2 linked regions of the Xenopus tropicalis genome follow. The protein of the gene in region 1 interacts with the protein of each later gene in a pairwise test. Links are inferred from orthologs where the notes say so. Each region holds a gene or a part of one and is shown on either strand. Other genes may lie near its edges.

Region 1 (3,816 bases):
CCTGGTATAATGTGTCTTCAGTCCTTTGTAACTAATGGGACAAGGGAACTTTATTGTGACAGTTTGCAGGAAAGAAAAGGAAGGTTTGTACAGTTAGCAAAATAAGTTCTTTTACAAGGGTATAGGCTATATATTATACACACTGCAGTTTCACTGCAATGCCTCTATGCTTGTCATTTTTTAACTGATGGCCATTAACCAAAAACAAAGAAACCCTATATTTTTTGTTAAGAGTTGGTTTATTTATTTATTTTTTCATTTCAAAGCGGGAAGCAGACAGGAACCAGGAGCTCATCACCCGCATCAAGGCTCTAGAGGAAAGGGAGAATGATTTTCAGAACAAACTTCAAGAGCAGAATGAAATGATCAAATCCTACAAGAAAACCATAGAGGCTCAAAGCAAGAAGCTGCTGGAGAAAGAGGACAAACTGTCTGAATTAAATGAGGTATTAAGTCTAGAGTTGCACCGAATTCACCCAATCCTAAATCTTCCATGAAGATGTGAGATTTGGAGCTAAACACTTATTTACTTCCCTAGATGCACTTGAACCTATGTATCACTGAAACAGCAACGTTTTCCTATATCTGTAACCTGGTCATGATTTGGAGGGGGGGGAGAACATAGGGTGGTCCTTTAAGGAGGCCACACATTTATTGCTACTTTTTATGACTTATCTTTCTATTCAGGCCCTATCCTATTCATATTCCAGTCTCTTATTCAAACCACTGTCTGGCTGCAATGGCAGTTTAGACTAGGGAATGTGCATTGATCGATACCCTCTCTCTTTAGTATGATTGTAGTTAATTTGGTTAGATTAGTTGCACTTCCATGTACTTGTATATTTTACTTGGAATGCTCCCACCACCCCCTTTTTGTGTAATTTGGACCCTAGCAACCAGATAGCTGCAGAAATTCCAAACTGGAGAATTGCCACTAATACCAACTGCAACTCTCTGCAGGAATCACACTCAGCATCACATGCTAAAAGTGAATTTAAAACTGAACAACCCCTTTAACAACCTCCAGTTATTTATTGCCTAGCTGAAGATGCTGGGAGTTGTAGCTTAAGCCTAGTATTTATTATCTCTAATGTAGAATGCATAACTCCAGGCACATTGTTTTTTTGGCTTCACTTTCCTTTCTATCCTCTCATTTATCCCAGAACATCAGTGTGTTAAAAGGAAAAGCAACTGAGCTTCAGTGGAAGATAATGAACCAAGAAATGCAAATAAAGACCCAGGAGACTGAGAAGCAGGAGATGACAGAGCAGCTGGAAATCCATCGCAAGTAAGTGTAGGAACCATCTCTTTCCTTAGGGCTGAGGATTTGGCACTCTGCATTGCCTAAACCTGATGCTTCTGTACTCTGAAAAGCAGTTAGCAAGATATGCTTTTTATCAGTAACTTACAATACTATTGGACGCTTTAACTTTTAAATGTTTGTTAGTAGCCTTAAGGGCATGTAGCTCTGCATTACAGAAGGTCTCTTTATATTTAAAAAAAAAAAAAAAAAAAAAAAGGCAGGTTCCAAGTATTCTGGACAATAGGGGCCATGCCCCTATGTGTATGCTAGTATTTACTTCACTGGCCCATTAGATGGATATGAATGCTTTATGTTATTAGGGAGAGAGAATACATGTGTCATCACTGTGTTAGTATCGAGTATAAAGAACATATCTATCAATTTGTACAATAGAAAGGCTGCAATGTGAAAAAAAGCATATTACATTCCTGAAATGACATAGATTGACATAGATTCTAATACTTATTCCTAGTAAGGACTGTGTATCTTGTTAAATTGTATTTAGGAACCTCAAGCTTCACTGGTCAAATCATCGCAATATTGATTATGTGAGAGAATCAACTGCACTAAAGTGTGACTGAAGTCTATCAGAGCATAAGTCACATGGCTGTGGCACCCTGGGAAATGAAGAATGGGGGGGGGGGCGGTGACAGCTCTGAGTTTATACACAGAGATTGTGTCAAGCTTTCAGCCTTCCTGAATTCAGATTTAGGCTTCACATAACCACTAGGTGGTGATTTCAAGATGATGGTTGTTGTATTTACCTATACGTAGGTAAAGCAATATGCCAACTCCCACGCAGGCATACGTATAATACTAAACGGGAGCAATGACTTATGGCTTTGTTACAGTAAATGGAAGATAACCCTTGCTTGTAAAGAAGGTATGTAAGTTATAGCCGCAACTGATCTATCACTGGAGTGTGTAGAACTCTATCTCAACGTAGAAATGCATTACTTTAATTTGCATCACCCCTTATCAATAAACAGCGAAGAGCCTGAGGGCATGTAGGCATTGGACTTTATTGCCTCTTTCCTCTGCAGTTCAGTGTTAACTGCATTCACAAGTGCCTTGGCAATAAATCATCTCTGGTTTTCTGTTTAAGTGGATTAAAATGGTTCTACACAAGGGTGATTATTTTCACTTTGCATGATTAAATCAAGTGGGTTGTATATATTCTCCTAGACTTTTTAAAGATTTATGGCTTGAGTAGACAGGAAATGGGTGCAATTTTATATGTGGCTTTCTAATTAGTTGTTTCACTTTTGGACCATGCTACAAGTGCAAGAGTAGTCACATCTTGCTAATTGTAAAACTTAATTCAAATTGCAAATTTGCAAAACAAAGATCGTCCCACAGTTAATTTCTAATCTTAGCCTCAGAGTTAACCATAAGCAATGGCATTTAGGGTAGTATCATTATAATAAAATTTGTCACCTGTTTGTGGCCCAATCTGCAAAATACCATTTTATCGTGTGGAATCTTTATACAGTCTAGTATGCTCAGAGCATGTGGGCCAGCAAGTCCTCTAGGTGGTACTGCTAACAGGCCCATGTTGGTTCACTTACTGTGTGCCTAAGAAAAGGATGTTTTTTGGAAATTAAGGTGGCCATACAGGGGCTGATAAAAGCTGCCGACAGGCAGTGTCAACAGCTAATCAACGCATGTATGGAGCTCTCCGACTGGCCCACCCGACTGATATCTGGCAGAAAATCGGCCAGATGTTGATCAAGCAGGTTTCAAAATCCTATGGGCAGAAGGAGTGTATTGGTTTGATGGTAATCTTTGCCCCGACAGCCTTCATCCAAGGGCAAAACCGATAAATCTGATATTGCCCACGCATATTGGGGAAAAATCCACTGGCAACCTTTTCAGCGTATGGCCATCAAGATGTTTTTTTTGTCAATTTGATATATCTGATGTAGTACAGGTATGGGATCCCTTATCTGGAAACCCGTTATCCAGAAAGTTCCGTATTATGGAAAGACCATCTCCCATAGACTCCATTATAAGAATATAATTCTACTTTACTTTTTTAAATTTAAAATTTCCTTTTTCTCTGTAATAATAAAACAGTAACTCTACTTGATCCCAACTGAGATACAATTACCCCTTATTGGAGGCAGAACAGTCCTATTGGGTTTAAATAATGTTTAAATGATTTTTTAGTAGACATAAGGTATGGAGATCCAAATTACAGAAAGATCCCTTATCTGGAAAGCCCCAGGTCCCGAGCATTCTGGATAACAGGTCCTATACCTGTATAGCCTGAGCTGCACTTTTCTAGCAAAATGGGAAACTTTAGAGTGTTTTTTATATGCTCTTTGCTGTAGCATCTTGAATTAACTGCAGAAGGGCATTTTTTGAGTATTGGCAGTTGATTGGTTTCTTGTTGAGAAAAGCTGTAGACCATATTCTTTCTTTTGGCCAAAATGGAGTAAACTGAATGTACGATTCTTTTTCTGGCGTTGCTCCAGGATGAAGTAAAGAACAAATAGGAAGGCTACAGAAAA
Region 2 (3,338 bases), on another chromosome or scaffold:
CTGCTAATATCCTTATATTTTACAACAGGGGGTACTGTATTTATTAGTGAGTCATGTGACAGAAATGACATCACTAAGCTCCGATTATAACTGATGACATCACTAAGCAGTGTTTATAAGGATATAATTTCCAGTTTGGTCCCATAGGGAGATAATAAGGATAATAATGAGACGCTTCCCTACGGGGTCACCCACCTCTCACCTTTGCGCTCCAATATCAGGGCGGCCCGCCGGTTCTTCATCTCGGGGCTCAGCTTGGCCACCATACTGTCGATGCAGTTGTCCAGCACGAGGGAGCGCGTCTCCGACAGGATCTCCTGGCGACAGATAGGACACTCCTCCTTGCGCTTCCGCCATGACTTGATGCAGTAGGAGCAGAAGCTGTGGGCGCAGTTCAACGTCACCGCCTGGGGGGGCAGATGTGAGAGCCCCATTATAGCAGCTGACTCAGGGGCAGCACTCACACTCACACACAGAGTGAATACCGACTCTGGGATACAGTGCCTGAGAGTGAGTGGGCCCCTGTAGGTAACCGACGTATCAGTATACGGGGCCCCAGGGGGCGGGGCTACAAGCTCTTACCTCAATAAAATGCTCCGAGCAGATGATGCACTGAAGCTCATTATCCAGAACGTCGTTCATATGGTTCAGTACCTCCTCCTTCTGGGCCCGAACCTTCTCCTTCTCCTCCTGCAACAAACCCAACAGAACCATCAGAACCTCCAGCCCAACGGCAGCTCCCTAGTAACGCTAAGTACCTTACTCATATTGCTGTCAGCCCCCCAGATCCACTCAGCGCCCCCCAGATCCACTCAGCCCCTCACTCACACTCCAGGGAGTAACTGCCCTATACACTCAGCCCCTCACTCACACTCCAGGGAGCGACTGCCCTATACACTCAGCCCCTCACTCACACTCCAGGGAGCGACTGCCCTATACACTCAGCCCCTCACTCACACTCCAGGGAGCGACTGCCCTATACACTCAGCCCCTCACTCACACTCCAGGGAGCGACTGCCCTATACACTCAGCCCCTCACTCACACTCCAGGGAGCGACTGCCCTATACACTCAGCCCCTCACTCACACTCCAGGGAGCGACTGCCCTATACACTCAGCCCCTCACTCACACTCCAGGGAGCGACTGCCCTATACACTCAGCCCCTCACTCACACTCCAGGGAGCGACTGCCCTATACACTCAGCCCCTCACTCACACTCCAGGAAGCGACTGCCCTATACACTCAGCCCCTCACTCACACTCCAGGGAGCGACTGCCCTATACACTCAGCCCCTCACTCACACTCCAGGGAGCGACTGCCCTATACACTCAGCCCCTCACTCACACTCCAGGGAGCGACTGCCCTATACACTCAGCCCCTCACTCACACTCCAGGGAGCAACTGCCCTATACACTCAGCCCCTCACTCACACTCCAGGGAGCGACTGCCCTATACACTCAGCTCCTCACTCACACTCCAGGGAGCGACTGCCCTATACACTCAGCCCCTCACTCACACTCCAGGGAGCGACTGCCCTATACACTCAGCCCCTCACTCACACTCATGGTACCTTGGTTTCCTGCAGTTCTTTATTCTTCGCCTGAATAATCTGCTCGAAGTCATTCTTGTTGCGGTTCAGTTCCTGCATCAGTTGCGTGTGCTACAGGGAGACGGAGGGTGTCACTCACTGCCCCCCAGTAACCCCGCCCCCGCCCATAATGGCACAGTCACCCCCCTGCCAGTACCTCCTGCAGCGCCTGCGCCAACTGCTCCTTCAAATGCTCCTCCTCCTCCGCGCGCTTCCGACCCCCCTGCAAGAGAAAACATGGCTGCTATTGGCCGCAGACACAGAACAGAGGTAGCCCCACCCAGAAGCTCCAATGGGAGGGGACAGATACAGAACAGAAGTAGCCCCACCCAGCAGCTCCAATGGGAGGAGACAGACACAGAACAGAGGTAGCCCCACCCAGCAGCTCCAATGGGAGGGGACAGATACAGAACAGAAGTAGCCCCACCCAGCAGCTCCAATGGGAGGGGACAGGCACAGAACAGAGGTAGCCCCACCCAGCAGCTCCAATGGGAGGAGACAGGCACAGAACAGAGGTAGCCCCTCCCAGCAGCTCCAATGGGAGGAGACAGACACAGAACAGAGGTAGCCCCTCCCAGCAGCTCCAATGGGAGGAGACAGACACAGAACAGAGGTAGCCCCACCCAGTAGCTCCAATGGGAGGGGACAGGCACAGAACAGAGGTAGCCCCTCCCAGCAGCTCCAATGGGAGGAGACAGACACAGAACAGAGGTAGCCCCACCCAGTAGCTCCAATGGGAGGAGACAGATACAGAACAGAGGTAGCCCCTCCCAGCAGCTCCAATGGGAGGAGACAGACACAGAACAGAGGTAGCCCCACCCAGTAGCTCCAATGGGAGGAGACAGACACAGAACAGAGGTAGCCCCTCCCAGCAGCTCCAATGGGAGGAGACAGACACAGAACAGAGGTAGCCCCTCCCAGCAGCTCCAATGGGAGGAGACAGACACAGAACAGAGGTAGCCCCACCCAGCAGCTCCAATGGGAGGGGACAGGCACAGAACAGAGGTAGCCCCTCCCAGCAGCTCCAATGGGAGGAGACAGACACAGAACAGAGGTAGCCCCTCCCAGCAGCTCCGATGGGAGGGGACAGGCACAGAACAGAGGTAGCCCCACCCAGCAGCTCCAATGGGAGGGGACAGGCACAGAACAGAGGTAGCCCCACCCAGCAGCTCCAATGGGAGGGGACAGGCACACAACAGAGGTAGCCCCACCCAGTAGCTCCAATGGGAGGGGACAGGCACACAACAGAGGTAGCCCCACCCAGTAGCTCCAATGGGAGGGGACAGGCACAGAACAGAGGTAGCCCCACCCAGTAGCTCCAATGGGAGGGGACAGGCACAGAACAGAGGTAGCCCCACCCAGTAGCTCCAATGGGAGGGGACAGGCACAGAACAGAGGTAGCCCCACCCAGTAGCTCCAATGGGAGGAGACAGGTTCAGAGATGGGGGTCAGTTTCCCTTTAAAGAGCGCCATATTGACTTGTACTGGGAGGGAGAGAATAAAAAAAGGGGGTGGGGACTCTCCGCCCAAGGGCCGGGTCAGGGGCCCCAGTGATGGCAGCCATTGAGGCCTTGGGCTCACCATGTTGTGCTGTTCCTGCTGGAATATCTGCTTGAGTTCCTTCACGCTCTGCAGATGCTGCTCCTGCTCATTGCTCAGTTGGTTGCGCAGCTCCTGCAGCTCCTTCTGCACCGCAAGGACACAGTTGGGGCCCCGCTGGCTCTCGGGGGGGCAGTTCAGCCTCTCCTGC

Evidence for each region.
Region 2: the proteins of mad1l1 (region 1) and rnf8 interact in binary tests that used the Homo sapiens proteins (3 or more experiments, as listed by UniProt). The two-hybrid records come from large-scale screens. The link is inferred for Xenopus tropicalis from reciprocal best matches to the Homo sapiens genes MAD1L1 and RNF8.

What each region holds. Positions count from the first base shown.
Region 1 is NC_030685.2:31,029,517-31,033,332, reverse strand, and holds part of mad1l1 (mitotic spindle assembly checkpoint protein MAD1), read left to right. Parts: intron 1-266; coding exon 267-446; intron 447-1,163; coding exon 1,164-1,288; intron 1,289-3,816. UniProt on the Homo sapiens protein: Component of the spindle-assembly checkpoint that prevents the onset of anaphase until all chromosomes are properly aligned at the metaphase plate.
Region 2 is NC_030681.2:2,805,444-2,808,781, reverse strand, and holds part of rnf8 (E3 ubiquitin-protein ligase RNF8), read right to left. Parts: coding exon of another isoform or gene 3,219-3,338; coding exon 3,170-3,218; intron 1,812-3,169; coding exon 1,746-1,811; intron 1,661-1,745; coding exon 1,571-1,660; intron 691-1,570; coding exon 583-690; intron 408-582; coding exon 203-407; coding exon of another isoform or gene 196-202; intron 1-195. UniProt on the Homo sapiens protein: E3 ubiquitin-protein ligase that plays a key role in DNA damage signaling via 2 distinct roles: by mediating the 'Lys-63'-linked ubiquitination of histones H2A and H2AX and promoting the recruitment of DNA repair proteins at double-strand breaks (DSBs) sites, and by catalyzing 'Lys-48'-linked ubiquitination to remove target proteins from DNA damage sites.